7 linked regions of the Mus musculus genome follow. The protein of the gene in region 6 purifies or fractionates together with the protein of the main gene of each other region. This does not show direct contact. Links are inferred from orthologs where the notes say so. Each region holds a gene or a part of one and is shown on either strand. Other genes may lie near its edges. The genes, in order: Ago2, Cnot1, Ago1, Ago3, Cnot10, Tnrc6c and Pan2.

Evidence for each region.
Region 1: the proteins of Tnrc6c (region 6) and Ago2 purify together in Homo sapiens (co-immunoprecipitation; 6 studies listed by BioGRID and IntAct, with this or other methods). This does not show direct contact. The link is inferred for Mus musculus from reciprocal best matches to the Homo sapiens genes TNRC6C and AGO2.
Region 2: the proteins of Tnrc6c (region 6) and Cnot1 purify together in Homo sapiens (co-immunoprecipitation; 4 studies listed by BioGRID and IntAct, with this or other methods). This does not show direct contact. The link is inferred for Mus musculus from reciprocal best matches to the Homo sapiens genes TNRC6C and CNOT1.
Region 3: the proteins of Tnrc6c (region 6) and Ago1 purify together in Homo sapiens (affinity purification with mass spectrometry; 5 studies listed by BioGRID and IntAct, with this or other methods). This does not show direct contact. The link is inferred for Mus musculus from reciprocal best matches to the Homo sapiens genes TNRC6C and AGO1.
Region 4: the proteins of Tnrc6c (region 6) and Ago3 purify together in Homo sapiens (affinity purification with mass spectrometry; 3 studies listed by BioGRID and IntAct, with this or other methods). This does not show direct contact. The link is inferred for Mus musculus from reciprocal best matches to the Homo sapiens genes TNRC6C and AGO3.
Region 5: the proteins of Tnrc6c (region 6) and Cnot10 purify together in Homo sapiens (co-immunoprecipitation; 3 studies listed by BioGRID and IntAct, with this or other methods). This does not show direct contact. The link is inferred for Mus musculus from reciprocal best matches to the Homo sapiens genes TNRC6C and CNOT10.
Region 7: the proteins of Tnrc6c (region 6) and Pan2 purify together in Homo sapiens (affinity purification with western blotting; 3 studies listed by BioGRID and IntAct, with this or other methods). This does not show direct contact. The link is inferred for Mus musculus from reciprocal best matches to the Homo sapiens genes TNRC6C and PAN2.

The regions. Positions count from the first base shown.
Region 1 is NC_000081.6:73,182,148-73,186,240, forward strand, and holds the start of Ago2 (protein argonaute-2), read right to left. Parts: upstream 2,801-4,093; 5' UTR 2,636-2,800; coding exon 2,614-2,635; intron 1-2,613.
Region 2 is NC_000074.6:95,804,646-95,808,945, reverse strand, and holds the start of Cnot1 (CCR4-NOT transcription complex subunit 1), read left to right. Parts: upstream 1-1,500; 5' UTR 1,501-1,613; exon of another isoform or gene 1,614-2,116; intron 2,117-4,300.
Region 3 is NC_000070.6:126,462,084-126,465,583, forward strand, and holds part of Ago1 (protein argonaute-1), read right to left. Parts: intron 1,773-3,500; coding exon 1,589-1,772; intron 1-1,588.
Region 4 is NC_000070.6:126,426,743-126,431,042, forward strand, and holds the start of Ago3 (protein argonaute-3), read right to left. Parts: upstream 2,801-4,300; 5' UTR 2,545-2,800; coding exon 2,526-2,544; intron 1-2,525.
Region 5 is NC_000075.6:114,637,401-114,641,469, forward strand, and holds the start of Cnot10 (CCR4-NOT transcription complex subunit 10), read right to left. Parts: upstream 2,801-4,069; 5' UTR 2,541-2,800; coding exon 2,519-2,540; intron 610-2,518; exon of another isoform or gene 1-609. UniProt on the Homo sapiens protein: Component of the CCR4-NOT complex which is one of the major cellular mRNA deadenylases and is linked to various cellular processes including bulk mRNA degradation, miRNA-mediated repression, translational repression during translational initiation and general transcription regulation.
Region 6 is NC_000077.6:117,720,289-117,723,788, reverse strand, and holds part of Tnrc6c (trinucleotide repeat-containing gene 6C protein), read right to left. Parts: intron 2,840-3,500; coding exon 239-2,839; intron 1-238. UniProt on the Homo sapiens protein: Plays a role in RNA-mediated gene silencing by micro-RNAs (miRNAs). Required for miRNA-dependent translational repression of complementary mRNAs by argonaute family proteins.
Region 7 is NC_000076.6:128,301,837-128,306,134, reverse strand, and holds the start of Pan2 (PAN2-PAN3 deadenylation complex catalytic subunit Pan2), read right to left. Parts: upstream 2,801-4,298; 5' UTR 2,664-2,800; intron 2,041-2,663; 5' UTR 1,924-2,040; coding exon 1,642-1,923; intron 1-1,641. UniProt on the Homo sapiens protein: Catalytic subunit of the poly(A)-nuclease (PAN) deadenylation complex, one of two cytoplasmic mRNA deadenylases involved in general and miRNA-mediated mRNA turnover.

The sequences.
Region 1 (4,093 bases), on a different chromosome or scaffold from region 6:
CCACGGTAGAAACTTTTTTTTAAATTGTGTGATAACAGTTCATAAAATTTTTTAAAAGTGGGGGGGGGGAAGAAGAGAAACATTTTTATCATTCTGGCAGCCCCAGCCTCTTTACTTGTAAAGAATAAAACCAATGGTGTTGACAGAGAAACTCAAAAGTTACAAAATGTTGCTTCTTCAGAATGTGTAAGTCAAAGCTTTTACATCTTTTTTCTTGAACACTTATTTAAATTCCCCCACAAGCTACTGGAGGGTGGGGGAAAGATTTCCCACAAGTGCTCAGCCACCGGCTGTGCGTTCCAGCTGTTGGCAGAGCTTTCCCTGCGGCACACACAGGCCGCCAGGCTGCAGTGGTACCCTCAGACAAAACTGTGAATTGGGGAGAATGAGGGTGGGGGCAGGGCTAACCGCTGCCACCGGAGGCCACAGCAATGATCAAAGACTCAGTCCTGATTGGCAACTCTCAACCCAGTTTCCAGAGTCACAGAGGTTATTTTGTAGCAAATACTCCTGGGCTCTAGAATGCAGGAGCACCGCCTTGCAGGAGGCAAAGCTCCTCCCAGACAGTTTAAGATCCTTGGGTGGGGGGGACCCCACCCAGAACCCACTATCTAGGAAGTTTCAGTATGGGTAGTTAATTTACCTTCCCGAAACCACTAACCAACCCCAATAGCACAGGAAGGAAAAGAAAAAAACCCTATGAGGTTCTAAACCTTGGCCCCCAATGTTACTAACCTCACACATCTAACAGTATTTGTGACAGACACAATAAGAACCCACGGTGAATTCTATTTTTAAAGTTAATTTACTATTTACTTCCCATCAAGCTCAGAAACAGCAAAAGTCTGTCGCTTTTCTATAATTCAGATCCAATGGTCTTCCATTCTCCTAAACTTGGAAATATGATGGAGTCTCTTTGAAGAGATGGGGGCGGGGGGATTCCTTGTAAACAGAATTAAAAGCCTTGATATGTACAATAAAATGGAGCTGCACTCCAGGCTTGCAATTACAGACACTGGCCCACCTGAAACTTGAGTTCCTTCCCAGTCTGCCATTAGCCAAGAATTATCCTACAGGCATCTCTTTTCTCACCCAAGGCCTTCTTGGTTAGAGGGGACTGTCTCCCTCTTAGGCCACAATGCGGAGGCCCACGCAGCAGCCATCTTCAAAGCTGCCAGTGACCAAAATGAACCGGTTGCTACCGCATTCTCTCTTTTTTTTAAAGGCAACAAAGCTCCCCTTGCAGAACACACAGTAGGCTCTTACTTCCACCCTAGCAAAGAGCTCACTGGTCTAATCCACACCAAACCAGTACTTCCAACAGCGGGTCAAGGTCAAAGGGACTGGGAACCACTTCTAGAGGGGAGTGCTCAAACAGGTTGCCCTAATGCTTGCTGGCTCCCGGATGTTAAACCTCTCTGAGCCTCCACTGTCCAGCGTCTTCAAGAAAGACCCACTGTGGCAAGCTGAAGGGATCAATCAACACGCGAAATTGACGAAAGCCTGGCCTCGTCCCCGAGGAAGTCACTAGAAATTGACACATTGGGAAAACGTACAAATTTGGAGCTAAGATTTGCTGGGTTCCTCCACAGCGCTGAGCTGGGGGGTGGGGGTGGGGGGGGGGTTCCCAATCTGGCAGGAGGCTGCCGCTGGCCATTTCGCAGGGACCTCCAGGCCCCAACATCTGTCCCTAGGACCCGGGCACCTCCCAAGCGCAAGGTTAAAAGGGTCTTCAAATCGTTGGGAAGCCTTTTAACGCATTTACAAGTTGGTCAGTGGGCATTCGAGGAGCCCTGTGACATCAGGAGCGGAGGCGCACTAGGCTCCGGAGCAGGCACCATAGGGAACCCGGGAGGATCTGGGAGGCTTCCAGACCCCACAGTGAAGAAGTCTGGGGAGGCCCCAGGGCCGAACCACTAGGTCAGGTGGGCAGCAGGGAGGGCCCGCGGGCGCCAAGTACAGCCTGGCGGACAAAGGGGTGCAGGCTGAGCCCGAGCAAGCGGCGGGGCAGCCGGGAAATGGAGCCACGTGCCTGGCGGGAGAAGGCGAAAAAGCCTCCCCAACACTTGTTTTCTCAACCCCGCGAGTAAACCGCCCTCCGCTCGGCTCCAGGAGCGGGGTGGGGAAATGCGTCCGTGTTTTTAAGTTTTCTGGAACTTTTCCAGAGAAACGGGCACGCTGGTGGGAAAGGGGTGCCACGGCGGCCACCCGCTCCGCTAGGAAATCGCAGGGCGATTAGCACTTGAATGGGGAGGGCGGCTGCCCGGCGTGAAACTGCGTCCAAGCGACCGATCGCGGTCCCGGGGCCCCGTGGTTCGGTTCCCGACCCGTCCAGCTCCCCGCCCCAGGCCCGCCGTGCTGGGCCCCACAGCTATGCGCTCGGGAACGGCGGGAGGAGCGCTGCGGGAGGACGGAGACCCGTTGCAGGCCGAGCCTGGGCCCCCGCACACGTCCCGGTGGCGCTGCTCGGGTGCACTGGGCCTCCCGGCCCCGAGGCCCTGCCCGGCCGCCCCGAGGCTACGCCGCGGCCCCACAGGCCCCGCCGCCCTCGCCTGCCCCGCCCGCCAACCGCCAACCGCCGCGGCACGAGTGCCGGGCGCCGCGCGGACTCACCGGGGCCGGCTCCCGAGTACATGGTGGCGTTGCCGAGGGCCGCGGCCGAGGGCCGGCCGCGCGCTCCACGGGCCCCGACGCCGCGAGCCGCGAGGAGCCGCCGGCCGCTCGATCCGCCCCGGCGCGGCCGCCTCGCAGAACAGGTTTACCCGACGCGGCCGGGGCGGCGGGCGGAGGCGGCGGGAGCGGAGGGGGAGGGGAGCGGGAGGAGGGAGGGGAGGAGGAGGGGCGAGAGGGACGACGAGGGAGGGGACGGCGGGGAGGGAGGGAAGGAGGGGACAGCGGGGAGGGAGGAGGCGGGGAGGAGGGAAGGTGGCAGGGAGAGAGGGGGGCAGGGGAGGAGGCTGGAGGCGGCGCGCGCCGGCGGGATGGGGGGGGGGGGACTCGCTGTGGCGGCCCCCCGCGTGCTTGCCCTGAATGAGGGACCCCAGAAGCGACCCAGGGCACGCGAGCCGAGACCTTCCCTGCGGCCGAGCGAGGCGACGTCTGGTTTCCGGGCGCGGCCAGCCCGGCACTGCGACCAGAGTCGGAGTCCTCCCGCGCCGAGTGGCAGAGCCTCGGCCGCGTCCCGCCACGCACCCGCCCCTGCACCTCGGCCTGGCTCTTTAAGTTATTAACGAAACGGCGACGGGAAGCTAGCTCCCCACCCAGAGCTTGAACTTGGACGCGGCCAGACCCGTGCGCGTGACCACACCGCCACCTCCCGGCGCGACTCCACAACCTAGATAATCCTAGCAAAGCACCAAGGAAGCCCAGCAAGTTCAGGATTAAATTTTATCAGCTGTCAGGGAGCAGATCTGGTCGGGGCTTCCCGCTTTCTGGCCTCCGAGCCCCCAAGTTCTGCTCTGAGGCCTGCTAGACCAGCATGCTCTGTGCACGTATGTCCCTTCTTCACTTGTTGCTGGCGTGTGCTCCTAGTCCTGTCCAGCTGCCTCTGGAACCTTTCTATAGAAGAGGCGGGTGTGTCAGCTCCTGCCTCGCCCTGCAGGCTTTGCAATGTCTTCAAAGCCCATACTGAGAACCCAGGCCAAAGACAAACAGGGTCCTACTGCAGGGACCCCAGGATCGGGGTAGGCTCCATATTCTGTGTAGTGCTCAAAGATAGTCCCAGGAACAAGAAAAGCAGCTCTCCTTCCAATAAAGGAGGAGGAGGAGGAAACTAGACACAGCATTGCAGGGCTGCCATTCCAGCTAGCCAGAAGTCGAGGGAGGCGGATGGCAACCGTAAATCTAGTCTAGGATACATAGAAGAAAGACTTGCCCCCACCCCTCTCCCAAGTGATTGACACAAATGGGTAATCAATCATACCTAGCCCTTGCGGTACCAATACTTTGGTACTTTAGGGATGGAGACAGGATTTGCTGAACTCAGGAGTCATCTTGGCTCAGAACCAGTCAGGGTAACACAGAACTAATGGGGATGCGGTGAGGTGGGGGGGGGGGGGAGGTGGTGTTCGGCGGGAGGCGGTGTTAGACTTCA
Region 2 (4,300 bases), on a different chromosome or scaffold from region 6:
AGAGGAGCTGTTTTTGCAGAGGTGCAGGGGTGGGTTTCCAGCACTCATAGAGCAGCTTACAACTTTACTGCTGAGACTCTCATCTCAGTCCCGGGGCATCCAATGCCTTCCTGGGTACCAGGTCCACACTCTCTAGGTGAACATATATATAGGCAAGCACTCAGACACTTTTTTTTTTTCATCTAGGGGTTGGAAAGATGGCACAGAGATTACAAGAGCTGGCTGCTTTTCCAGAGGACCCACCCAGTGGCTCACAACCGTTCACTTCCAGAGGGACGGGCATCCTCTTCTGACCTCTGAGGACATTGTACATGCATGGTGCATAGATTTACATGCAAGCAAACGCCTGTACACGTAAAATAAGTAATAAAAGTCTTTAACACATCTCTTTAAAGTTCAAATAGTACTGGTATGAGAGGTTACGTCTATTATCATCTCAGTATTTTGGAAGATTGCAAGGAGCTCAAGGTCAATTTATGCTTCTTAGTATGTTTCAGGCCAGCCTGGACTACAGTTGGGTTAACTGAAAGAGACCTTGTTTCAAAACTCAAACAAAAAGTCTAAAAGATAGGAGGACACAGTGGATAACGTAGCCTTTTATCCAAGAAGCAAAAGGCATTGGCATCCTTGAGAATAGCCAAGAGCAGGAGGAGAACTTCTGTTTCTATATCTCTGCAAAGCGTCCCTGCTTCAAAAGACAAATGGAAAACAAACTTTAAAAGAGCCAGGATTAGGTGGGCATCTGGGAGACTACATTCTCCAGCATGCATTGCTGCTCTAGGGCGCAGACAGTGATGGAAGAGACCACGTTACTTTTGCGACAGGAATAGGCGGGGCGTGCGACTACATAACCCAGGATGCAAAGGACCTCAACTTTGCCCCGCGTCTGACGCCTTCTGATGACTGGTGCTCCTTGCTAAAGAGATCCGAGGGGTGGACAATGCTTCCGCTGGGAACCCGCACAGCCTCTCGGACCGTGACATTTCGAAAGACGAAGGAAAGTAGACGAGCATCACCCTGTCTCTAAGTTAGAGTAGTTTGTGCGCAGGGTGGCAATGCATTAACGAGCTCCCTTCCGTATTTTTTTGTTTCCCGGAGGCAATGACCAGCCAGTCCCCATAGGTCGAACACCTCGAAGGCTTATGTCTTCGAGTCCCAAATCGAAGTTCCCAACGTCTAACCATTGGCTTACACCCGGGTGCGCAGGCGCCCAGACTCGGACCCAGTCCCAGGGCTGATGAGCGGCAATTGGCCTGAGCCCCGCAAACTAGGAGTCTGGATTGGTGGTTGCTAGCAGGAGCCTGGTTTCTTCCTCGACTTCTGCGAGTGATTAGTGTGTGATTGGTTTAAATCCGCGGGTACCCATCGGCGATTGGACCGCCGTTGCGGTCAGCGCGCGGCCATTGGCTGGGCGCTAGGGCCATCCCTCCGCCAAAGCGGGCAGCGAATGGTGAAATGGGAACTGGGAGGGGAAAGGCCGCGACGTGAGCGCGCGACCTCGGGCGCCATTTTGTCGAGAAAACAAGCGGAGTTAACCGAAGAGGGGGGTCGAGGAGAGCCGGAGTCGAGGACCCAGGAGTTTCCTGTGTCCAGCGCTGCGGGAGCCGACTGAGGTGAGGCGGGCTGGGGCTGCGGTTGGAGGTGGCGGAGGCTGGGAGTGTCAAGCTCGGGACGCGGGTCCGGGTGGGAGCGGTACCGGGGGTGGGGTGGACTGGGGACCCTGGAAGCCTTTTCCCGGGGCGTCGGGACTCGGGCAGGCGAGCCGGAGACGTGGAGCCAAGGCGGGAGGGGACGGACTCGGCCCGCTCGCGGCGGCTTTGCTCTCTTGGAGAAGGGAGACCGGGGGCTCACGTTCCTGGATTCGGAGCGCCCGGGCGCGGGTGAGCAGCTCCGGAGCGGCTCGGCCTGGAGGCCTTGCCTGGAGGCTTCGAGGATGGCGGCGGCGGAGGTGGCAGTTCGGATCCCAGGGCCTCGGCTCGCCGCGCGCGCAGGGCTGCAGCCTCCTCGGAGCGCACGAGCTCCTCAACTGTCCCTTTCCTCCCGGGCTCCCGGATGGGGGGCTATGGGCGCGGGCGCCCGCGGCCTACCTAGGTTCCTCGCTGGGCGGGCGGGCCAGGGGGCGGGTTTGGAGTTGCTGCCGATTCGTAGCGCTTTCCGGGGACTCCCTCCCCTCCTGCGCCCCCCAGCACGTTGTCAAGCCCCTCGCTTTTGGCTGCTTGGCGGTGGGAGGGGCGGGCGGGCGGGAGTGAGCACTTCCGTGTTACCCTTCTCGCTACAGGTTTTTTGTTCCACTCGCGCGCCCCGGCGCTCGCACTTTCTAACAAGTCGATAGCCCCCCAACTTAAGTCACCTAGGTCCCTGTGCGGTTGGTAGTGTTGGTTCTGCCTGTCCCAACGCCCCCAACCCTCCAACCGGCAACTACCGGCAGATGCCCACCAGTGAGCAGAATGCTTGTGGGTCTTGATTTGGTGCAGATCTTGGAGAGATCTTAGGTTAAGCCTAAGGCTAATAAGCAAACACATTTGGCCATGCCACCAGGTCCGGGAGGGAGCTCACCCACCTGTGCTCACAGACATTACTTGCAGGAGGAGTGCTTTGTAGGTTTTGAAAAGAAGTGCTTTTCAAAGTGTTGTATGGAAAATTAAGCTTCATGAGAGGTAAACGTTCCCCAGAAGTCACCTCGACAAATATTACAGTCCCACCTTCCGTGGACATTTAATCCAGGCAGGCCTTGTATCAGTGAGCTCTAGCCCCAGATGTCGAGTTTCTTTGGGGCCTATATACTTCTTTTTCCTCTCTATTCAAAACCGAGTAACAGTACTTGAGTTTTCCGGTTTTGTTGCAGTTCGGTCCCTTGTGATTACAATGGAGAGGGGGGGGAACCCAACAACAATCAGCCAATAATTGAGTGGGTGTACTGCTTATTAGAGAAAATACCAGCATTTCCCTCCTGACCTCTCTTTGGAAAAGTAGTATACATGTGTGAAAATGGTGGAGGTAGAAATGGGACCTGTTTTCAGTGCTGTGTGAGGACATTACAGATGGTTGTCCCATGGCAGGAAGACCTGATGATAGCAAGCAGGGCCTTGGCCTGAATGGCAGGCAGGATGTTAGTAAAGGTTCTTTTTGCAGGCAGAGGGTCTGACTTGGGAATTTGGTTCTTTTTCACCTGGTCCTGGCTGTTTGTTTAGTGGAAGCAAGTCTAGAATCGAGGCACACACATACACACACACAAATCTGACCTTTAGCCGGGTGTGGTGACACTGGCTGCTTGTAATCCCAGCAGTACAGAATGGGGCATGAAGCTCATTGTGATTTCTTTACAGCCTGGGCTACATGTGAAAGCCTTGTCTCAGCAACAAAAACAGTGGGAAAAAACAAAGGCTGAGTGGGGAGGATCCTAGTCACTAATACCTGAAAGTATTTTTTTAAACCCAAGATTAAAATTTGTTGAATAACACACACACACACACACACACACACACACACACACGAGTGAGTGAGTTTAGCATTCTTGTGCCATAGCTCATGCGAGGAGAGGTCTAAGAATATGAGGAGTCAGTATTTTGACGCTTAGTGAAATGTAAAGGATGGATCTCAGGTCCTCATGCTTGTGTGACAAATGCTCTTACCTTTTGAGCCATCTTGAGGCCCTTAACAATTATAGTCTTAGAAGTTGGCTTTATATTCTTGGTGACTTTATTTTATTATTTGTGTGTGTGTTGTTCATATGTATGAGTACCGTGTGTTGAAGAGTTCAGCAGAGGGAGTTGGGTTCTGTGGAAGTGGGATTATGGTTGGGTTGGCTTGTAGTTAGGGTAGCCTCAAGTTCAGAGTCCTGTCTCAGATCACTAAGTGACAGTAGGGCAGTGTTAGATTGTAGATACTTATAGACTCTTCACCACATAACCCTGTTCTGTCTCTTTAAAGCACATTTATCGTGTGTGAGTGGATTTATGTTGGTATGGTGAGTACATCCCACAGTACTCATCAAGGGTAGAGGACAACTTTGAAGAGTGGGTTCTCTCCTACTGTTTTGGTCCCAAGCATAGACCGCAGGCAGTCAGACTCGGTGGCAGGTGCCTCTACCTACTAGTGCACTGCACTTGTCCCCATTTGATGCTTCTTGAATTAACCAAAATAGTATTTGCCCTTTTGAAATGGCGTGTTTGCTGACACACACACACACTCTGTATGTGTTGTTGGGGCTGAACACAAGACCTTAACATTTGAGGCAAATGCTCTCTACCCCTGAGCTGTGTGTTTTGCTCCTTGTTGGCACTCTCCCCACCCCAAGTAC
Region 3 (3,500 bases), on a different chromosome or scaffold from region 6:
GGGAAGCACCTGTTCTCAGGTCTATCCTGAACCTTCCACAACCTCTAATTCCCAGTCGGTCGAGCAAAAACAAAAGGAAAAAGAGCAAACGATCTGAGCTAGCCTAGAAATAATAAAATAAAGTGTAGAACAATCCCTCTCTCTGGGTCTCTAAACTCTTAGCAGTTTTCTCTCCATCATCACCTTGCTCTCATTCCCACACCTACGTTCTTCTGACACAGCCTCTAGGAATCCACAATGTCTCAATTTAAACTGCCTTGTGCCAGTGGCTCCACTCCTAGGACTTCTATCTTACAGATACATTCATGCATGGGTGAAAATATGTATCTTTATATAATACTTAACAGTTTCAATCTTGTTGCAAAGTTTAGACTCAACCTAAATATTCCACAATAGATCAAGAAAGTTATGCGGCCACCCCAAGGACTACCTAGGGCACTATGCAAAAGAATAAGGCAGATCTAAATAAACTAATATACGCTATTTTCCAATATATGTGGCTAAACAGAAAAAAATGGACAATATTGAACAAAGTATATAGTATTGTACATTAATATTATATGTGTTCATACATTACATATTGTATTGGCTGGTTTTGTGTGTCAACTTGACATAAGCTGGAGTTATCGCAGAGAAGGAAATGCCTCCATGAGATTCAGCTGTAAGGCATTTTCTCAATTAGTGATCAAGGGTGGGAGGGACCATTGTGGGTGGTGCCATCCCTGGGCTGGTAGTCCTGAGTTCTATAAGAGAACAGGCTGAGGAAGCCAGGAGAAGCAAGCCAGTAAGCAGCACCCCTCCGTGGCCTGTGCATCAGTTCCTGCTTTCTGACCTGCTTCAGTTCTAGTCCTGACTTCCTTGGTGATGAACAGCAATGTGGAAATGTAAGCTGAATAAACCCTTTCCTCCCCAACTTGTTTCTTGGTCGGGATGTTTGTGCAGGAATAGAAACCCTGACTATGACACGTATGTATACATAACATTAATGCACATATATTTTATTATATGTAATACTTGTACAAAATCAATGTGTATATGCATATACAATAATATGTAATAATGTAATATTATATGTGCTTGTTAAGAATATAATTAATAATTAATGATAATAGAAATTGATGATATATTACTATAGAATGTATTATATACTCATGACTATAATATTAATGTACATATATTAATGTATGCACGTACAGAAAAACATCTGAAAATACACTCAAGATTGTAGAAAAAAATGTTCAAGAACAATAATTTTTCACTGCTAATTCCTAGTTTTTAATTGTGAATATGACTTTCAAGTAATAATAAACCAATTTAATCTGCTTCTTATTCGACTAACCCCTCCAACTACACATTCCACAACATCCCCTGCAAGCAAGAACATCCATCCTGTTCTTATTCCCGCCATTTTGACCTTGCCTTTTAACTTCTTTCTCTACCAGCTCCTTTAGTAAGTCTCTAGTCTCTGTGCTCATGCACATCAGCAAATATTAGACTATGCTCCGTGCTACACTCCGTCTAGCCGGCATGCTTCCTCTTTTCCCTGTTTAATAAATTGGACTTGGTGCCACCTGCGGGCATCGCTTACCGGTTGACTCTGCGAGGACACTTATCCGGCTTGATGTCCACCTCGTAATGGTAAACGTCAATCTTAGGAATGTCCACCTCAAAGTAATTGGCCAGAAGCTTGATTGGTTTGCCCACAGTGCCAATGCCAGGCCGGCGGGGTGCCTGAAACACCTGCTGCAGGGGAGGCAGGTAGGCACCTGCCGCTGTGAAGACAAAGACGCCACTGAGGACAGAGTCTGGCAGTCTCCTACCGTGGTCAGACATGGCCCCTCAGACCAAGACCACTGGTCTCTTTCCAGTTTTCCTAACCCGGCAGGGGGCTTCCACTAGCTCAGACACTCACAGGCTCACTGGTTTTTCTGGTGGCTTATTTCTCTTTTATTTTTGTTTTAAACCTTTCTTCATTTAGGAAAATGTGTATCTGAAACCTCATCGAGTAAATGTGTAACGAGTTCCTATTGCATCAAGAAAAGTAGTTAAGTCTGTTTCCTAGTTTTACAAAACCTTTTCTTCCTTCTACACTAGACTGAGATAACTGTCTCTACCGGGCATCTGGCAGATGGAGAAGGTCCTATTCTGTGCTATGAGAGGCTTACTTCACTCATTACCATCCAGAGCACAAAATGGCACAGAACTTTGTGATTACACCCTCTGTTAATGTGGACAGGAGAATGACCCTAAGTAATCCAGGCTGGGAAGGGCAAGGCCGGTGCCTGAGAGAGGATTGAGACATGCAGTGGCTGGCTCTGGAGAGACATAAAGAAGAGAAGGGTTGAAGGACAGCATCTGCAGACTAAGAGGAGACTGCCAGGGTGGGAGAGAAGGTCGGATCTGGAGGACACAAGAGAAAACAGACAGGAAGGGGGTGGGGGAAAGGGTGCAGATAAGGCAAGGTAAGTTGGATTGGGGTACAGGGAAAAAACTATCAAGATGTAGAATGAAGAAACAGAAGGAAAGAAAAGCTCACATGAGGAAGAAAGCTGGAGGTTCTGGAAGGAGGAAGAGCAGTAAGAGGGGAGGCAGCAGGTCAGAAGGGGAATAAACAGCACTTTCCATTCTCCACAAATCTTTCCACACAGAGGGTCCAGACAGCAGAAAGGATCGATTCAGAACAGAAGGGGCCCTTGGGAAAGGCTAGCATAGGCCAGCTTTTCTCTCTCTCTCTCTCTCTCTCTCTCTCTCTCTCTCTCTCTCTCTCTCTGTGTGTGTGTGTGTGTGTGTGTGTGTGTGTGTGTGTGTGTTGACTAAGTGGGGCCTTTGTCCTCAGCTACTATTGTTCTTGCCTGCAGAAGACTAGCCCAGGTGGAAGAGGGATAAACTCAGAACCTCCCTTTACCAGAGCTCTGCTTTCATGGAAAGGACTGGGGGATGGGGCAGGGGTGGGAGGATACGGAGCATATCTTAGGGAGGGGGGTCAGGAAGAGCACCATTTTGTGGGAGGTGCACACTTTCCAAAGCTGAAGGACTTGACTCCCTCTAACCACCTGTCAAATCAGCCCCAGCCCCTTTCCACAGAGGAGCATGCAAGTCCAGCCCAAAGAACTCAGCGGCAAAGGAACTAAACTAGTCACACCTATCCCAGAAAGAGCTGAGCGGACACTGCGCACAAGCCCACTAACAAACACCCCTCTCACATCCTAGCTCTTTAAAGTTTACTGTTGCACATACACTCACCATCCTCAGCTCAGTGTTTCAAAAAGAGGACCATACTTGACCTAGTCACAGCTCAAGCTAATGCCGGGCACAAAGACAGGTACTTAGTATACCCATATGAAATGAATGACCAAGTCTACCCATAGGCACACCACAAGAGTACACAACTACACAACCACACTCGCAACGGTCCCGAACGAACAATCATAAACTCTGCATTGGAGAAGCACTTGCCCCCTTTCGGATAGATCTTTCCCTTTCCCAAGTTCTAGGATCCC
Region 4 (4,300 bases), on a different chromosome or scaffold from region 6:
ATTACATAATAATTATATTTTATATCCTCTATTGCACTAAAAGGAAAACAGAATTTGAGAACCAAAATTTCAGTACTAACCTAATAGACTGTTAGAAAGCACCTATATCTATTTTTTTCAAATTTAAAATTTATTATATTGCTTTATGTGTATGAATGTTTTACCAGCACATATGTATGTGCACCATATGCATGCCTGATGCCCTTGGAGGTCAGGAGAGGGCATCAGATCCCCTGGGACTGAAGTTATAGTTTTGAGCTACCACATGGTGCTAGGAACCAAACCCGGGTCCTCTGCTGAAACAGCAAGTGCTCTTACTTGCTGAGCCATCTCTCCAGCCCACATAGCTAAAAAATGTCAAATCTGAATTTAAAACCTAGTTGTCTATTTTCCTAAGTATGTTTCAATTTCACATTCACTGTAACAATTACATAAAAATCGCAAGAACAACACAAAAAACTCTCTCTCCCTTTTTCTCTCTGTTTCTCCTTCCTTCCTTCTTTCTTTCCTTCCTTCCTTCCGAAGGGTCTCACTATGTAGCTTTGGCTGGCCTAGAACTCACTATGTAGACTAGACTGGCCTCTAAATCACAGAAACCCAGGTGTTGAGGTTAAAGCCATGGGTCGCTGCACCCAACCAAAAGAATCATTTTGATGGTAACAACCTTGAGCCTGATAGTAAACAACAGCCAGTCACACATAAACTTCACTGAAGAACAAATTCTATGTTTCAAGATGGCCAAGCATGGCTGGTAGAACTGTTTTGTTTGTTTTTATTCAATGAACAACAATTTGGTTGTTTTGTTGTTTGTTTAGACAAGGTCTCACTAAGTAGCCCCAGCTGGCCTAGAACTCTTTATGTAAATCAGGCGGGCCTCCAACTCACAAAGATTGAACCATCTCTGCCTCCTGAATGTTGGGACCGAGGTGTGAGCCACCATTGCCAAACTAGTTAATAAATCTTAACTATACCTTCCCTGATGGGAAGACATCAACTGCTCTATATTTTATCAAAACAACACCCAAAAAGAAAAGGTACATTTTACTGAGTCAGGCTTAGCTAATTGTATCAACTGAGTAGTTGGCCCTATATCACAAATAATCAACACATGTCAATATTTTCACATAAAAAGCCCAAATAGGGAAAATACTCAATTTGGGGGAAAGCTCTTCAAAAGTTTTAGGTAGATGATTAACACAACCTTAAATGTCATATTTAGTTTTCCAGGCTTGGCAACAGGGTAGCTATGTAAAAATCAGAGAGCTGGAAATAATCAGATTATCTTATAAAGTAAAAGCAGTACAGACAGAATGTAAACTTTTAAAGCATAGAAAATACAGTCTGGAAACACACATATTGATAATAAGAGTCCAAAACTTCACAGCCTAGACATATTTCACTGTTAAGAAAATATGAGAAAAAAAATGGAACATAGAAAGGGAAAAAATGGTAGACACTGAGTAGAAAGAAATTCCACATAATAAAGGAAATGCCTTTTTGTATCCCTTCGACAATTATGCCCTGAACTGATTTGAAGGCCTTCTATGTTGCTAGTTTTAGTTTTGGGTTTTTTTTTTTCTCTTATATTTGGGGACCTTTCAAATTGGCAAGATGAGATATGAAATTCAGTGACTTGCTAGGACATAATAACAAGGCAATCCCCCAAATATATGAAAACAATATATTACTGATCTTGTGGATGGAGAGAACTTTCAAACTGGAGAACAGGGTGACTGCTGGGCCAGCAGGCCGTTATGTAACACCTATTTCATGTTACTCTATCAACTACTTTAGAATCGCTGACTACTTTTTCCTTTTTAAAGACAAGCACTATCCAGGCCGGCTTCCTTTCTCAAGACCTCTTTTTTTTTTTTTTTTTTTTTTCCTCAAGAGACAAATCCTAAATTCCAGATTTCCTGTGCAGGGAATAGAAAATAGAGGGGAAATAGTGTCAGCATCCTGAAGCTCTGCCTTCTAGTAAGCAGTGGTCCAGAGCGACAGGACATCTCCGAGCTCCTCAGAAACTACACACTCAGACACTGAGAACCAGGGGTGGGAGCAATGCCATCTTGCATCTGACGTCGCCCGAGCACCAATTAGAAACGTAATCATTGATTATCTCAGAGTATCCTCAAACTACACTAATAGGTAGATAAGGGTTATGCCTGACTTGTTCTGCATCCATGGGACACACGACCCGGTTAAAGGACAAGCGCGCCCTTTATATTTCCAACAAGAATTCCAAAAGCAAGGGCAAACTTCTCTCCATTCTCAGGGGAAAGCACTCTAGGGGGATGTCATCACCTACAGAACTCCAAACTTAAGCCCTCCTTGTAGTTTCGCCAACTCAATGACCCCAAGAGTGTAGGTCCCTGGGCTGTGGAGAGGACACCCGCATCGGGCCTGAAAGCCCGCAACTCCCTCACTATGTGCGCTGACAGCACCTGAAGTGGAAGGAACAAGGATGCTCAGGGGACAACATCGGGGTAACGACCCCACCTGCCCTGTCCCGCAGCTCGCCTCACCTGCGGAGCCGATTTCCATTCATGGAGCTGGGGGGAGTGCTTCACGAGAGAAGGGTGCCACCACAGAGGCGAGGAGCGGACGCCCTCGGAAAGCTCCGGGCACAAGAGGCACAGTCGGGAGAGACAGACAGCCTGCAGCGAGGTAAGAGCGGCGACAGTCCTGAGTGAGGACGCTGGAACCAGGTCCGGAACTTGCGTCGCCCACAGATGCTGACGCGTGCAGCTTCCCGACCCGCCAGCCGCCCCGCCGCCGCAGCCGCTCGCTTTTCCCGGTCGCCCCCGGAAGCCCGCTCGCGTCACTTCCGCTCTCCGGATCCCGCCCCGCTCTCCCTCCGGGTCGGCAGCTCGCCTGGAGCCAGAGCCTTGCGGGAGCAACAAGGTCTGGGGATCTGTGGGCGGGTGAGCCGGTGCCTGGCTGGGGCGGAGCCGCGGATGGGCGGTCGCCCTGCACCCGCTGTGCCTGACGGCGACAATCCCGAGCGAGAGGCCAGCTTTCCCCGTGCCAGCCTCCCGGGTGAGGACCGCTGCTTGAGGCGACATCGCTGCCTGCCCGCGGAGCTTACCTGAGGTACATCCTACCTGAGAGTGGCGGGTGACCAGCCAAGGGCATCCTCCCTCCCAGCTCCGTCTGCCACACCCGCTTGGAGCACGTGCACTAGGCGGTGACCACAAGTTCAATATAGTTTTTAAACGGATGAACAAGAAACGGGATGTTCCATGTATACCAGATGGAATTACGTTTATGTTTAAACAGTCTCCCAATACGTTGAGGAACCTAAACGACCTTCCGGTGTTTAAACACCTGCTAAACCTTCTCTTCCTTGGGACTCGAGACTTTTACAGCTAAATTGGTCAGCCTCCAGTTTCCCCGATCCGATCCAGTCTGGTGCTTTTCTGCTGACTTGGAACCTTTGGGAGACTAGACCCAGCTCATTATCCGGCAAATAGTCCGTCTTTTAAAAATACTTGGCTTCGTGAAACCAGATACTTCATGCAAGCTTAGCAATGATTCAGTATTTTTCCCCGTGTCCCAATGAACCAGTAATGTTTTGACATATATTTCTTTTTTAAAAAAGAGAATTGAGAAAGATTTTATTTTCACGATCCCTTCCCTCCCCGTTTTGGGTTTTTGGATTAGTCACTTTATCTTTGGACTTTAGTTTCCTCATCAGAAAAACTGAAAGGAAAACAAAAAACAAAAACCTCCCAAATGTTAGTAACAAAAATATTTACAATAGTTACAATTTTGAGGTACTTAATAAATATGCTGACTACATAATAAACATTTAATACATGGAAGTGACTCCAAGCCACATCTAGCACACCAATTCTGCCTCTCTTCCTGTTGACTGAAAAGAAATACTCTTATCACTTTTAAAATATCACATCCTCAGATGAATGAGCACATCTTAAAAGTCATGTTCAAGCTCTGATTATATACAATCCATATTGACCTAAGCCATAAGAACTAAATCTCAGACTTGTGGAAGGACCTATCCTACCCCCAATCTCTTGATTCTGGAACTAGTTCTTTGAATGAATGCAAGCTCAACTAGCTTCCAGAAAAACATGGTGTGGTGACAAACAGCATGCTTTTATTTGTTTTCAAATGTGTGTGGTGGTGTCTGGTCTCTGCACTTCTGGTGTCTTGGAGGCAAGAAGAGGGTGGCAGATTCCTGAGAACTGTTCAAACAGTTGTGAGCCATCCTGGGTGCTGGGAAGCACTTAGGTTCTCTGGAAGAACAGCCAGTGATCATAACCACTGATTCATCTTT
Region 5 (4,069 bases), on a different chromosome or scaffold from region 6:
CAACCGGAAGAAGAAAGCAGGAGGAAGCAACACAGACAAATCCTCTCCCCGTGTGCTACTTTCAAAAACTGCTTCCAGAGGCTGTTTTTCCAGAGGGGGCCATGGTGAGGCCCCTTAAAAAAACTCCCACAGGAAGTGATTGCCACGGCTTCTCAGAGCCCATGGTGGATCAAGAGCAGGGATGGAATACACTGTGTCTCCCCTTCACTTCCTGGACCCTGGGCTGGCACTTTCCAAATAAGTTTAACATGTCTCTTCTGCCTCTTTCACCACTACCATAAGAAACACTGGCTGGTGCTGTTTACTTGCGTGTGCGTGTGTCAGAGACAACCTGGAGAAGGCAGTTTTCTCTGCATGAGTCCTGGGGATGGACTCAGGTGTCAGGCTTGAAAGAAAACACCTTTACCCACTGAGTAAAGTGCTGATAAAGTACTACTCGGGTGGTAGTGGTGCTGGCAGCTGGGTCAGCACACGCTTTGATGCCAGCCTTCTGAGGTAGAGGCAGAGGCAGAGGCAGGTGGATTTCCTGCTTTTGAGGCCAACCTGGTCTACAGAGGGAGTTCAAGGACAGACAGGGGCAACACAGAGAAATCTTGTCTCGAAAAAAAACCTAAAAAAAAAAAAAAGAAAAGAAAACAAAACAAAACAAAAAGAAAAGTGTAAGAGAGCAACTACGAGGACCCAACAGCCAGAACCATGCCACTTAACCCAGCAGAGGTCCAGAGTGCAGGTCCTCAGAGGCAGGCTGTCTTACACTCACTTCATCATCTGAAGGATGCCTGCACAGTGTCTTTGTGAAGGAAGGAAGCAAGCAGTGAAGGAACGCCACGTGACTGAGGTGCAACTCAAGCCGGGCAGTCCTGGATCTGGTGAGACGCTTCCCGGGAAATGATTCCAGAAGCAGCACTGTTTTGATTAACAAGGACAGTCCCGGTCCCGTCTAGACCCGGGCAGGCAATTGGCACCCTTCTTGCATCCCACACCAACAGGATCACCCCTTCACTTTATTCAGATCTGTGCTCAATACTATCCCAGCAGGAGCTGGATCAGCAGGGGCTCGGTGGGTAAAGATACTTGCGCCCTGATGATTGGATTTGATCCTTGAAAGCCAAGACATGCAAATCACCTTGGTGCTCAGTGATTAAAAGCACACACTGCTCTTCAGAGGGCCTGAGTTTGATTCCCAGCACCCACAACTACCTGTAACTCCAGCTCTGCGTGACCCAACTCCTCGGACAGCATCTTCAGGCATTTGTCCTCACGTGCATACACCCAAAGTTAAAAATAACTTTAAAAAAGGAATCACCTCACAATAGATTTTCTCTGATCACCTAGCTAAAATTCTATGGCAGTGGGTATAATGGCACACAACTTTAATTTAGCACTCAGGAGGCTTTATGTCTAGTGAGTTTGAGAATAGCCTGGTCTATATAGCGAGCTCCAGGACAGCCAAGGCTACATACATAGTGAGACCCTGCCTCAATCAATCAATCAATCAATCAACCAATCAATTCCGCCCCACTCTCTAAACATTACTTTCTTCAAAGAAATATAGCAGACTTTCCAGGTAATAAATGGGCTCTCATAATTCCCTAATGGGAAAAATTCCTGATGGAGTACCACAGAAAACCACAGAAATTAAGAACTTTATCTTGGGACTGGAGAGATAACTCAGCGGTTAAGAGCACTGACTACACTTCCGTAGGTCCTGAGTTCAAAATCCCAGCAACCACATGGTGGCTCACAACCATCCTTAATGAGATCTGATGCCCTCTTCTGGGGTGTCTGAAAAACAGCTACAGTGTACATACATATAATGAATAAATAAATAAATAACTTAAAAAAAAAAAGAACTTAATCTTGGGGCTGGAAAGGTGATGGCTCAGCGGTTAACAGCACTCGCTGCTCTTGCCGAGGACCAAGACTGGGTTCCCAGCACCCACAAGTGGTGGCCCACAACTGTGTAACTCCAGCTCCAGTAGACGCAATGTCCTCTTCTAGTCTCGGCAGGCACCTGCACTCACACACATAATTAAGACTTTTAAAAAGGAATCTCGAGGAGCTCGGGAAAAATCAGATGAGGAACAAGGTAAGTGAGAGCAGGCAGGAGACACAGTGAAACGTCACGCCTCTTTAGACAGTTTTCAGAATGACTCCACTGGACACGCTGACCAGAGGGAACTTTTTCAGTGGCTGAGCCTGGGGGGGCCTTACGGCAACCGTGCGTGCTCGGATAGACTTTCCCTTAAAGCGTCTGGACAGCGGCGTGACAAATTCAAGCTTCCTGCGCCAGAATTAACTTGGAGAGCAAGGCAAATGCAGTGCAATCAAGATGGGGTGCAGTAGAATCAAGATGTGTCACAGCAGAAAATCCACTGGACTCACAGTAGAGACAGCTGAGAAGAGTGAAGGGCACAAGTACCCAAGCGAAGTCAAGTGGCCCTCGGGTCCCCCACGCGGGCCCTGCCGTCCCCGCGCGCAGTGTGTCAGCCCCTGGGTCGCGGCGCGGGCGCCTCACCTGCAGGCTTGTCTGCAGCCATCTTCCCGCCTCGGCTCGAGTTCCTCCCTGTAGGTGGCGTGGCCCCGACTCCCGCCGCCGGGCTGGTGGTGAGTCCTACCGGCGGGGGACAACTCTTCAGCTCAAGCCCGCTCCAGTCGCCTCGGCTAAGGTCCTGGGCGGGCCACGGGCTGAGGAAGTGACGAAGTTACTGCTCGTCGTCTAGCAACAGCGCCAACACATCCGCCGGTGCAGGGCTGTTTTCCCCGCCATCCACAGCTTCCGTCCCGTAGCGGCCAAGGGAGACGCTACTTCCGGGGCGGGGCCAGCTGGGCGTGGGAATTAGGGCTGGCCTCGGCCCCGGAAGCGCGTCCTTCTGCAAACCCGGAAGTACACTAGTGTAGGTCCTGAGTGAAACACAGAAGGGGAAGGACTTTTTGTTCCGCATTTCAGCAAAATGGCAGGCACCACACCTGAGGTTTATGTGCTAAGCTCTGAGTCTCATAGGGGCTGTTTTTCCATAACAATGAGGATGAGAGAAGTGTTGTTAGAGGAGGCCACCTCCCCCAGAAAAAAGGCTTTTTTTTTTTTCAAAGTTTCAGAGCTGTTTTGTTATTTGTAGCCAAGTTGAAAAAGCCATTCAGACTGCATTATGCATGCGGTTTCTCTGATTGCGAGTCATGCAACCATTAACTTACTATGGTAGGTCGGTCTAAGACAAAAGCTTGATGCATCACGATTACTAAGCACAATGATTTAGATTCAAGTTCAAATCCTCTGCAAAAACAATACCCACTCTTCAACTACCCAGCTCCCAACTATCTCATCTCTAGCCCATATCGTGACAAATTTTTGTTTGTTTGTTTGTTTAATTTTTTGAGACAGAATCTCACTATGTATCCCTATCTGGCAGTCTTTGTGGCAAAGGCTTTAACCCTGAACTGGTTCTGGTTTTGCTCAATGACCATAGCCTTGGGTTCCAGAAGCACCTACTCCATTCTTCCTTTCCCTTCTAGAGAACAAACAGCATTTATAATAACAGAGGTTCATTTCACGGAGAGAAACAGACATTAAAAGCATTTGTGTTAGACTTTTTGCTTCTGTGATAAATACCCTAGAGGAGAATTTAAATGAGGAAGGATGGATTTTTTGCCTCGTGTATCAGAGTTTTCAGTCCCAGGTCACTTGGTTCCATTGTTTTTGGACCATTAGTGAAGCAGTGCATTGTGCCAGGGCACAAGTGACAGAGTAAAGTTGTTGCCTTCCTGGTGCTAGAAGCAGAGGAAGCTGGGAGAAGAAATAGTCTCCAAGGGCACATGCAACTGAGATACTTAGCCCCACTGGGCCGCACCTCCTTAATTTCCATTACTTCCTAATGATGCACCAAATTACGAATCTGCAAGTGGATGAATCCAAGGATAGCTCCAAACTGTTGGAATCCTATTATCACTCTCAAGGACTGGGGGCCGGGCCTCCTATATGCAGGCTTTTGAGGGAGAGGAACTTCATATATAAATGACAACAGCACTGAATTGTAAAGTGACCCAAATGGTGCTTTGATGGGAGCATAGT
Region 6 (3,500 bases):
TAAAATTAGCCCCTCACTGTTGGAAGCATGATGAAAAGGACAACATGGCCGGAGCCCTGGCAGTACTGAGCACACCACCCAGCACATCTTTTCCCTGGAAAACTACAAGAATTTGCTTTGTTTCCTCCCTTGGAAACCAGCTACACCACTTAGTCATTTGCTATGAGAGTTTCAGTCCAAGAATTTACACAGGCACGGAGTACACACCAATGGTATGACCAGAGGGCCCCCAGCATACCTGGCCCGAGCAGTGGTGACCGATTCAGCTGAGTGCCAGCCTGGTGTGAAGGCGGCGTCTCGGCCCGGTGTGTGGTGCTGCTCGAGGTGGGGGTCGTGGGGGTGGCAGGGGCTGTGGTACTGCTCTGGATGACTGGATTGTTTCTGTCCCACATGTTTACAGTTTTATTGTTGTAGGTGCTTGGGTCCCCCCAAGCTGAGGTACCATCATCAATTTCCATTTTGCGTCGGATGGAGGGTGGGGAAGGCTCCTCCCAGCCAGTCGCCTCACTGCTGTCCTTCTGCTTGACTGGCAGTGGCCCCCCAATCCACCCTGTCCCTGTCTGCTTAACAGAAGCAGCTCCTCCCCAGTTACTCACATTGTTGTCTTGGGGCTTATGAGCCCAGTTCTGCTGGGGACCAGGCTTGAGAGACTCCCCCCAGTTTGTACCTGGATTCACCTTAGCATTTGTGCCACTGCCCCAGCCACTGGTCCCACATCTCGTGGCATCATTCCAACCAGACCCTGACCTATTACCATCAGCATCCCATCCAGATCCATTTTTCTTTCCATCCCCTAGATGTCCAAGGACAGATGATGAATCTGCCCAGTCTCCTGCCCCTGTGCTCCAGGCTGGGTTTGCTCTTTGTCCATCTCCCCAGTTTTGGGATTTGGGCTTCTGAGGCTCACCCCAGGTGGGTGATTTGTCCTCTTGGTTTACAGTCCCACTCCAAGCATGGCCACTCTTGGTGGCAGCAGCATTGTTAACAGCAGTAGAGCTTATTGAGTCCCCCCAAACTCCTGGGCCACTTGGCGCTTTGTTGTTGCTGTCTCCCCAGCTTGTGTTTGCTGGCACGGCGGCAGGTGGTGAGCTGACCCACCCCGATACTGAAGAGGTATTTGTACTGTTCATGATGGACCCATCAGTCTTCCCCCCTGAGTTTGAAGGCTGAGTAGCTATACTACCCCAGGCCTCTGTCCCATTGTCATTTTTCCTTTCAGACCTAGGGGACTCTTCAAATTCCCAGGCAGTGTTTTGCTTTACGGGAGTCTGTCCCCAACCACTGTTAGACAGAACTCTTGGGTCAAGGTCATTCCTTGGCAACTGGATGTGCCCTTGGTCTAGAACCCCTTTGTCTCGCCTCCGGCCCTCTCCTGTCCCTTCCCTCCCAGTGCTTCCTTCATTGTGATTGCCGGACCCATCACTGCTTCCTTCACTTGCTGTAGTTCCAGAAGATGTGGCTTTGGCCCACGAGTTCATGTGTTCACTGCCAGGCTGCAGGGCAGGGGTCTGGCTGGCAGCACTGGCACTGTCCCACCCTGTTGATCCTTTCCCACTGATGTCACTACTGGAATGCTGGTTTGGGGGCTTCCCCCACTCCCCATTCACACCATTAGAAGAACTTCGGCTGGGATGGCCCCAAGCTCCTGAATGGATATTACCAATGCCATTGGTGCCACTGCCCCTTCCCCAGGCAAGGATGCCAGGCCCTGCAGGAGGCCCTGAGTCCCAGGCGTTCCCTCCATTCCCTTCCTTCTGCACAGCACTGCTGGATCCGTTCTGCTTAGCACTTAATGCTGAGTTCACAGTGTCTCCATTCCCTTGACTGAACCCACAATTGGTACTTCCTGTGGCAGGGTTACCAGGGGACAGTCCCCACACAGAACTGCCCATTCCTTCCCCACCACTCCCACTGCCTTGAGAGACTGATGATCCGTTAGCACCAGGAAGGCCTTGCAGGTGGGGTGGGATGATGGCCCCCATACCAACAGCCATGCCCCAGTTTGGCAGTCCGTTTGTCTGCATTGCATTGATAGGGTTTGGTGAAGAGTTCATGGGGTTAGTGTTATTTGGTCCATCAGTGTTAAGGTTCTGAGGTTGTACGCTGAAAGACACATTCTGAGAAGTGGATGTCTGTGGTTCTGCGCTCTCTTGGGGCAGCAAGTTTCCCCAGGCACCTAGGGCGCCCACTGGGTTCCCATTCTGGCTGCCCATATTCTGACCTATGGCACTGACTGGACTGCAAATACTGGAAGGGTTGCCTGTTGCCACAGTTCCTTCATGCCCGAGTACAGGCCAGGCAGCTGGGTTGGCATTTGGATTAAGGTTGAGATTAATGCCCGCATTGGAGTTAGAAGCACCCCAACAATTCTGACTTCTCCCATCTCCGATCATGTTGTCCATTTTCCCATCTCCACCACCAACAGAGCAGTGAGCCAGGCCAGAGCTGGAGCTTGTGGCTACACCCCACACTCTGGCCACGCCCCCGTTCCCATTGGTTCCTCCTGCCCCAAGGGCACTCTGGTTAGAAGGGCTTTGGACGAGTGCGCCATTGGTGCCATGACTGCCGTTTGTCTTCTTCAGGTGGCTCGGGAAGCTGCTCTGGGCACTCCCTGTAGCCATGCTACTGTTCTCTGAGCCACAGTTGGAGGCAGAGTCAGTGTCGGTAGGACATTCTGAGGCAGATTCCGTCTCAGTTACTGGGATGGACGGCCACACCTCCGGCTCAGTCCTGTCTATTATCACTTTATCCCAGCTGCAGTTGGCTTCACTTCTGTAAGAGGGATGCTGTCCCCAGTGGGAATTTTCATAATGATCTACCAATCCACTGTGACCAAGATCTGGAAAAAGATGAAACAAAACTCAAAATTAGATTCTCCTCCCATCTGTCAATGAATCAACTAAGAACTAGTTTTGGGGAGAAAACTAGCTTTTTATCTTAAGTTCTCAATTCTCATTGAAAAATGCATAAAAAGCATAAGGGGCTGTGGGTGTGGCTCAGTGGTAGAGCACCTGCCCAGCACATCTAAGTTCCTGGGTTCCATCCCAGGACTACAAAACAGCAACAACAAAAACCACCAACCAACCAACCAACCAACCAACCCCTTAAAACCCCGAATGTTTCCTTGATGTTATCAAGATGACTGGACTAGCTCCTGCTGTGCAGGAGACAGCAACCAACATTCAAAAATCTACTTTGGTGAAATTCTTAGGAATCTAATGGTGTGGGGCATGTGTACCATTTCTTCTAAAGTGAAGGATGAGTTACTGCACTTAGAAAGAAGCGTTTAATGGGCCTGTCTGGATTCTGGAGACAGCACATCTACTCACTTGGGTGTGTTACTCAGGGTCCGTAGACCCAGTGACTTGGGAAGGTGCTAGCTTCGTGTGGAGCCTGAACAGGAGAAGACTTCTCAACAGGTCCAGGCTACTATGCAGGTTGCTCTACCAATTGGACCATATGGTCCTGCAGAGCCAATGGTGCCTGAGGTCTCAGTGGTA
Region 7 (4,298 bases), on a different chromosome or scaffold from region 6:
GTTGTGTGCACTTCATTCTGCTGACAAGAGGTTGAATAAGTGCCCACCTTCCAGCTTCCACCACCAAATACTTTTTTTTTTTAAGTGCAAAGCTAGGCACAACAACGCATGCCTCAGAGTCTAGCATTGAGGATGTAAAGGCAGGGAGACCTCTGTTTTGGTGGTGGCAGTTGGTTTTTGAAACATGGTCTTACTATGGTAATCCATGCTGGCCTGGAACTTACCATCCTTCTGCCTCAGCCTCCAAGTCAAGGTTATAGGGTGTGAACAACCATGCCTGTTCTATGGTCTATGCTGCATTCAGTTCTGTTCCCTGTGCCGAGCACAGCAGTAGTCATGCCTGACTTACTGAACTGAATACATCGGTGAAAAAGTTCATTTCTCCTAATGGAAAAACAATTCATACCCCCATGAAATCGTAAATAAGTAAACCAAGGTCTTACAAAAACTATTTGGCCTCATAGCATATATTATTACACACTTGAAAATTAACACTGATAACTGCTAAGACTAACAATCAGAAAGAGAAGACAAAATAACTCCAATAGGTATCCAAAAACATTCATTAAACATTCTGCAATTATAAACGAGGTGTGGTGCATTCCTGAAACACTAGCACTTTGAGGTTGAGATAAGGCTGCCCCTAGTTCAAAGCCACCCTAGGCTGCATAGTAAGTCCCAGATCAGAAGGTGCTACATACTGAGATTGTTTCAAACCCCGACCCCATTCCCAATTCTAAATTGGGTAAAATATTAAAGAGTATGGATGGCTATAAACTAAGGGATGGATATAGTTAATCAAAACATGGGCTGAGCTTGGTTGGTGATACCCCTATAAACTCAGCACTCTGGAGATGATGTTAGGGTTGTAAATCTGAGGCCAGCCTGGGTTACACAGCAAAACCCTATCTTAAAACAAAACCAGGCACTCGGGAGGCAGAGGCAGGCAGATTTCTGAGTTCAAGGCCAGCCTGGTCTACAAAGTGAGTTCCAGGACAGCCAGGGCTACACAGAGAAACCCTATCTCGAAAAACAAAAAACAAACAAAAAACAAAACAAAACAAAACCAGGATTTGACCTGTAGGAGTGAGTTCAGTGCTTGCCTGCTGTGCAAAAAGCCTCGGGGTTTATCTCAGCAACATACACTGAATATGGGTTTGGTGTCTATCTTCCCAGCGCTCAGGAGATAGAGGCAGGAGGATCAGACATTCAAGACGATCCTTGGCTATACATAAAGTTTAAGGCCAGATTGGGATAGAGAGACCCTGTCTTTAAAAACAATAAACAAACAACAACACAACAAAAACAATAAACAACAGTCAGATATGGTTACATACAAGGAAACTCAGCACTTTGGAGGCAAAAGCAGGAGGACTGCTGTGAGTTCTAGATCAGCCTGGACTATAGAGAGAGATGTTGTCGCAAAAACACAGTAGTGATAGGAGAACTGACAGAGTGGAATGCCTTATGAAACTAAATATGTAGTTAATCTCTCCACTCCCTTGTTGGTTTGAAAGACCCAGCTAACTCTCATCAGTTCAACTCAGTTTTGACTACCTGCAAAGAGCTGTCCTTGGGCAAAGACCAGATAAAGATTTCTAATACACCCTTTCAGCCTTCAGAAAGGGGTATAGTTCTTACCCCATGGCTCCCCACCCACAGCATCTCCTCATGTAAATCAAAGTGGGAGACAGACACAGGCACTCCCACTTCAGCCACCACGCTGTGCAACTCAGAGTAGACACCTTCCATTATGTGCACTGACTCCTGGACAGGAAGAGCCTCCAAGGCCACTCCCTCTGGGTCTAGCTCCACATTCTGTAGCAAACTTGGATTCAGGTGGGCATCCAGGACTGGGTCCAGGGTAGAATGCATAGCTGGGGAAAATTCGGCCAGTCCAGGATCCAGACCCTCAAAGTTCATGACGATAGTGGCCGCTGGTCAGACCGGAGTCACACCCTCCCTTGCCACGCTTCCTACAGACAAGTGACCCAGCCTTCAGGAGGACAGCACCAGTGAACCTAGAATGGACATTCTGGCCTGCAAGGGAAAGAGGCAGCGCAGTCAGGGATAGGCCTAGGTACTGGAAGTATCTTCTATGTGGACAGGACAATCAGGTAGGCAGAGGGGATGAGACTGCCAGGCAAAGACGGAAGCATGCATGAAGAGGACAAGGGCAACGCTGTACTGTGAGTGGCATGACAGTGTCCCTTACTCTGCACCTCTAAACTTCCTAAGTTCCCTGCCAGCCCACCAAATGATCTAACTCTTGACTTCCCTTTCTCCTGAACCACAAGGTGAAGGGAGCGGGTTTGATAGGGGCTGGAGTTCGGGGGAGAGCTCTGAAATGCTTGTTTCTTAGAATTGGACATGAGACAAAGGGGCTGGGCGGTGAAGGGGGCAAGACAAGCCAGTTTCCCAGAATCCTTTACAGTGGTTACCCAGCATTCTCCAGGGGGTGGGTAACAAGAACGGCCAGTTACCCACAAACGGGGCGGGGGTAAGGGGGAAGTAATGGAAACGGATAGCTACCCAGAATTCTTTGAGCGAACCAGAGAAACTGGTTACCCAGAATTCTCCCCCAGCGCAGGGGACGGGAGGGGAAGGATTAGGGCAAAGGTCAAGACGTGTTCCTGGGATGCTTACGGGGAATGGGTCATTACCAAGATTTCTCCATGGCGGATATTTTGGAGCGCGTGGAATTCAAACGAGTAGGGGGTAGAGAAAGCGCCGTCAGCTCCGCGGGAAATTCCAGTTTCCCTACTACTCCCCCGCCTCTAGCTCAACCTAACCCAAGCAAGACGGACGGTGGATTGGCAGCCATCGCTTCCAATCAGCGGGGGCCACGGGCTCATCCCAGCCAATCAGAAAAAGCCAGGTACAGGCAGCGCCTGAGAAGGAGAGTGACGTAGCCTCCGCCAAAACAAGGTTACGGAATGCCACCGGGGACAAACTGAATCAGGCGCGGATCTATTTGGTGTTACGAAAAGTAATCCCTTCGCTCTCAGGCTTTGTTAAGCAAAATTAACTTTAGACTTTGAAGCCAAGCTTTTACGCTCCCTGAATAAGAACTAGACTAAAGGGGCGCCAGAGGCTAAGCACTGGGACTCGCCCGGTGGGTATTCCCAGCGTGGCCTTCATCATTCCCGGCGTATAGACCTTCATCTTGCTGTGCCTGTGAGCCATTCCAATACCTCTGACCCTGTACCCCCGAAACTCACTGGCATTTCCTATGACTTCTAGATGTGGGGAAGAAAAAGGAAGCGGGAGCCTGACTTCTAGTGTGGCCCAAGTGGCCACCTTTTCTCTATTTCTAGAGGCATCCATCTGAAATTCCCATCAATGTTTGTGTCGTCCCCAGAGGTCCCCTAATTTTCCCAAGAAACAAGTCTCCTAGACTGTCAAAATTCCCCTAGACCGTGGAGCTGGACATTGACCCCAAGAGAGAGATAAACAGTAAACTGAGTCAACTGAGCTGTAGCTATTCTGAGGGGTTCTTGATTAATCTCCAACTAAGAGATCCTACTGCCTCTCCCTCTCCTGTGAGAGTGTGTCACCGTGTCTAAAATATTTGGGGGTACTGGCTGTGTACTAAACTGCTTTGGAATTGGTCCAGGCTGTGAGATGTCTTAGGTTGCCCAAACTCAGCTCTGTCATCTCTGTTTTTAAAGGCCCTGTGCCACTAGTGGTCCATACCTACAATACCTGCATTATTAAAGCAGAGGCAGGAATCCCTTACAAATTCGAGGCCAGCCTAGGCTACATAGATAGTAAGGACCAGGCTTGCTATGGCTACATGGTGAATATCCCTTTCAACAGGTGCCTGTGGAAGAAAGTTCTCACCAATAATAAACACCAATAATAAAACTTTTAAAGCATTTATTGGGCCAGGCATAGTGGAGGTATATTTGTAATGGCAGTAATCCTGAGGCAGGAGGATTAGTGTTCAAGGTTAGCTTCTTCTATATAGCAAGTCCCAGGCTAGTCAGGTTACATGAGACCCTGTTTCAAACAAACAAAAACCAGGCTAAGTGGGATGGCAATCCCACCACTCAGGAGGCAGAATGGATTTCTGTGAATTTGAGGACAGCTTGGTCTACGTAGTGAATTCTAGGCCGACCAAGGTTAGACAGTGAGACCCTGTCTCAAAACACCCCCCTCATCCAAATAAAAATGTATTTCTTTTCAAAAAGGTGAAAGAGGATTTCAAGATGGTACAGCAGGTAAGGATACTGCTACCAACTGTCAGGGTCTGAGTTCCATCCCTGAGACTCAATGTGGTTGTCTTCACATTCATA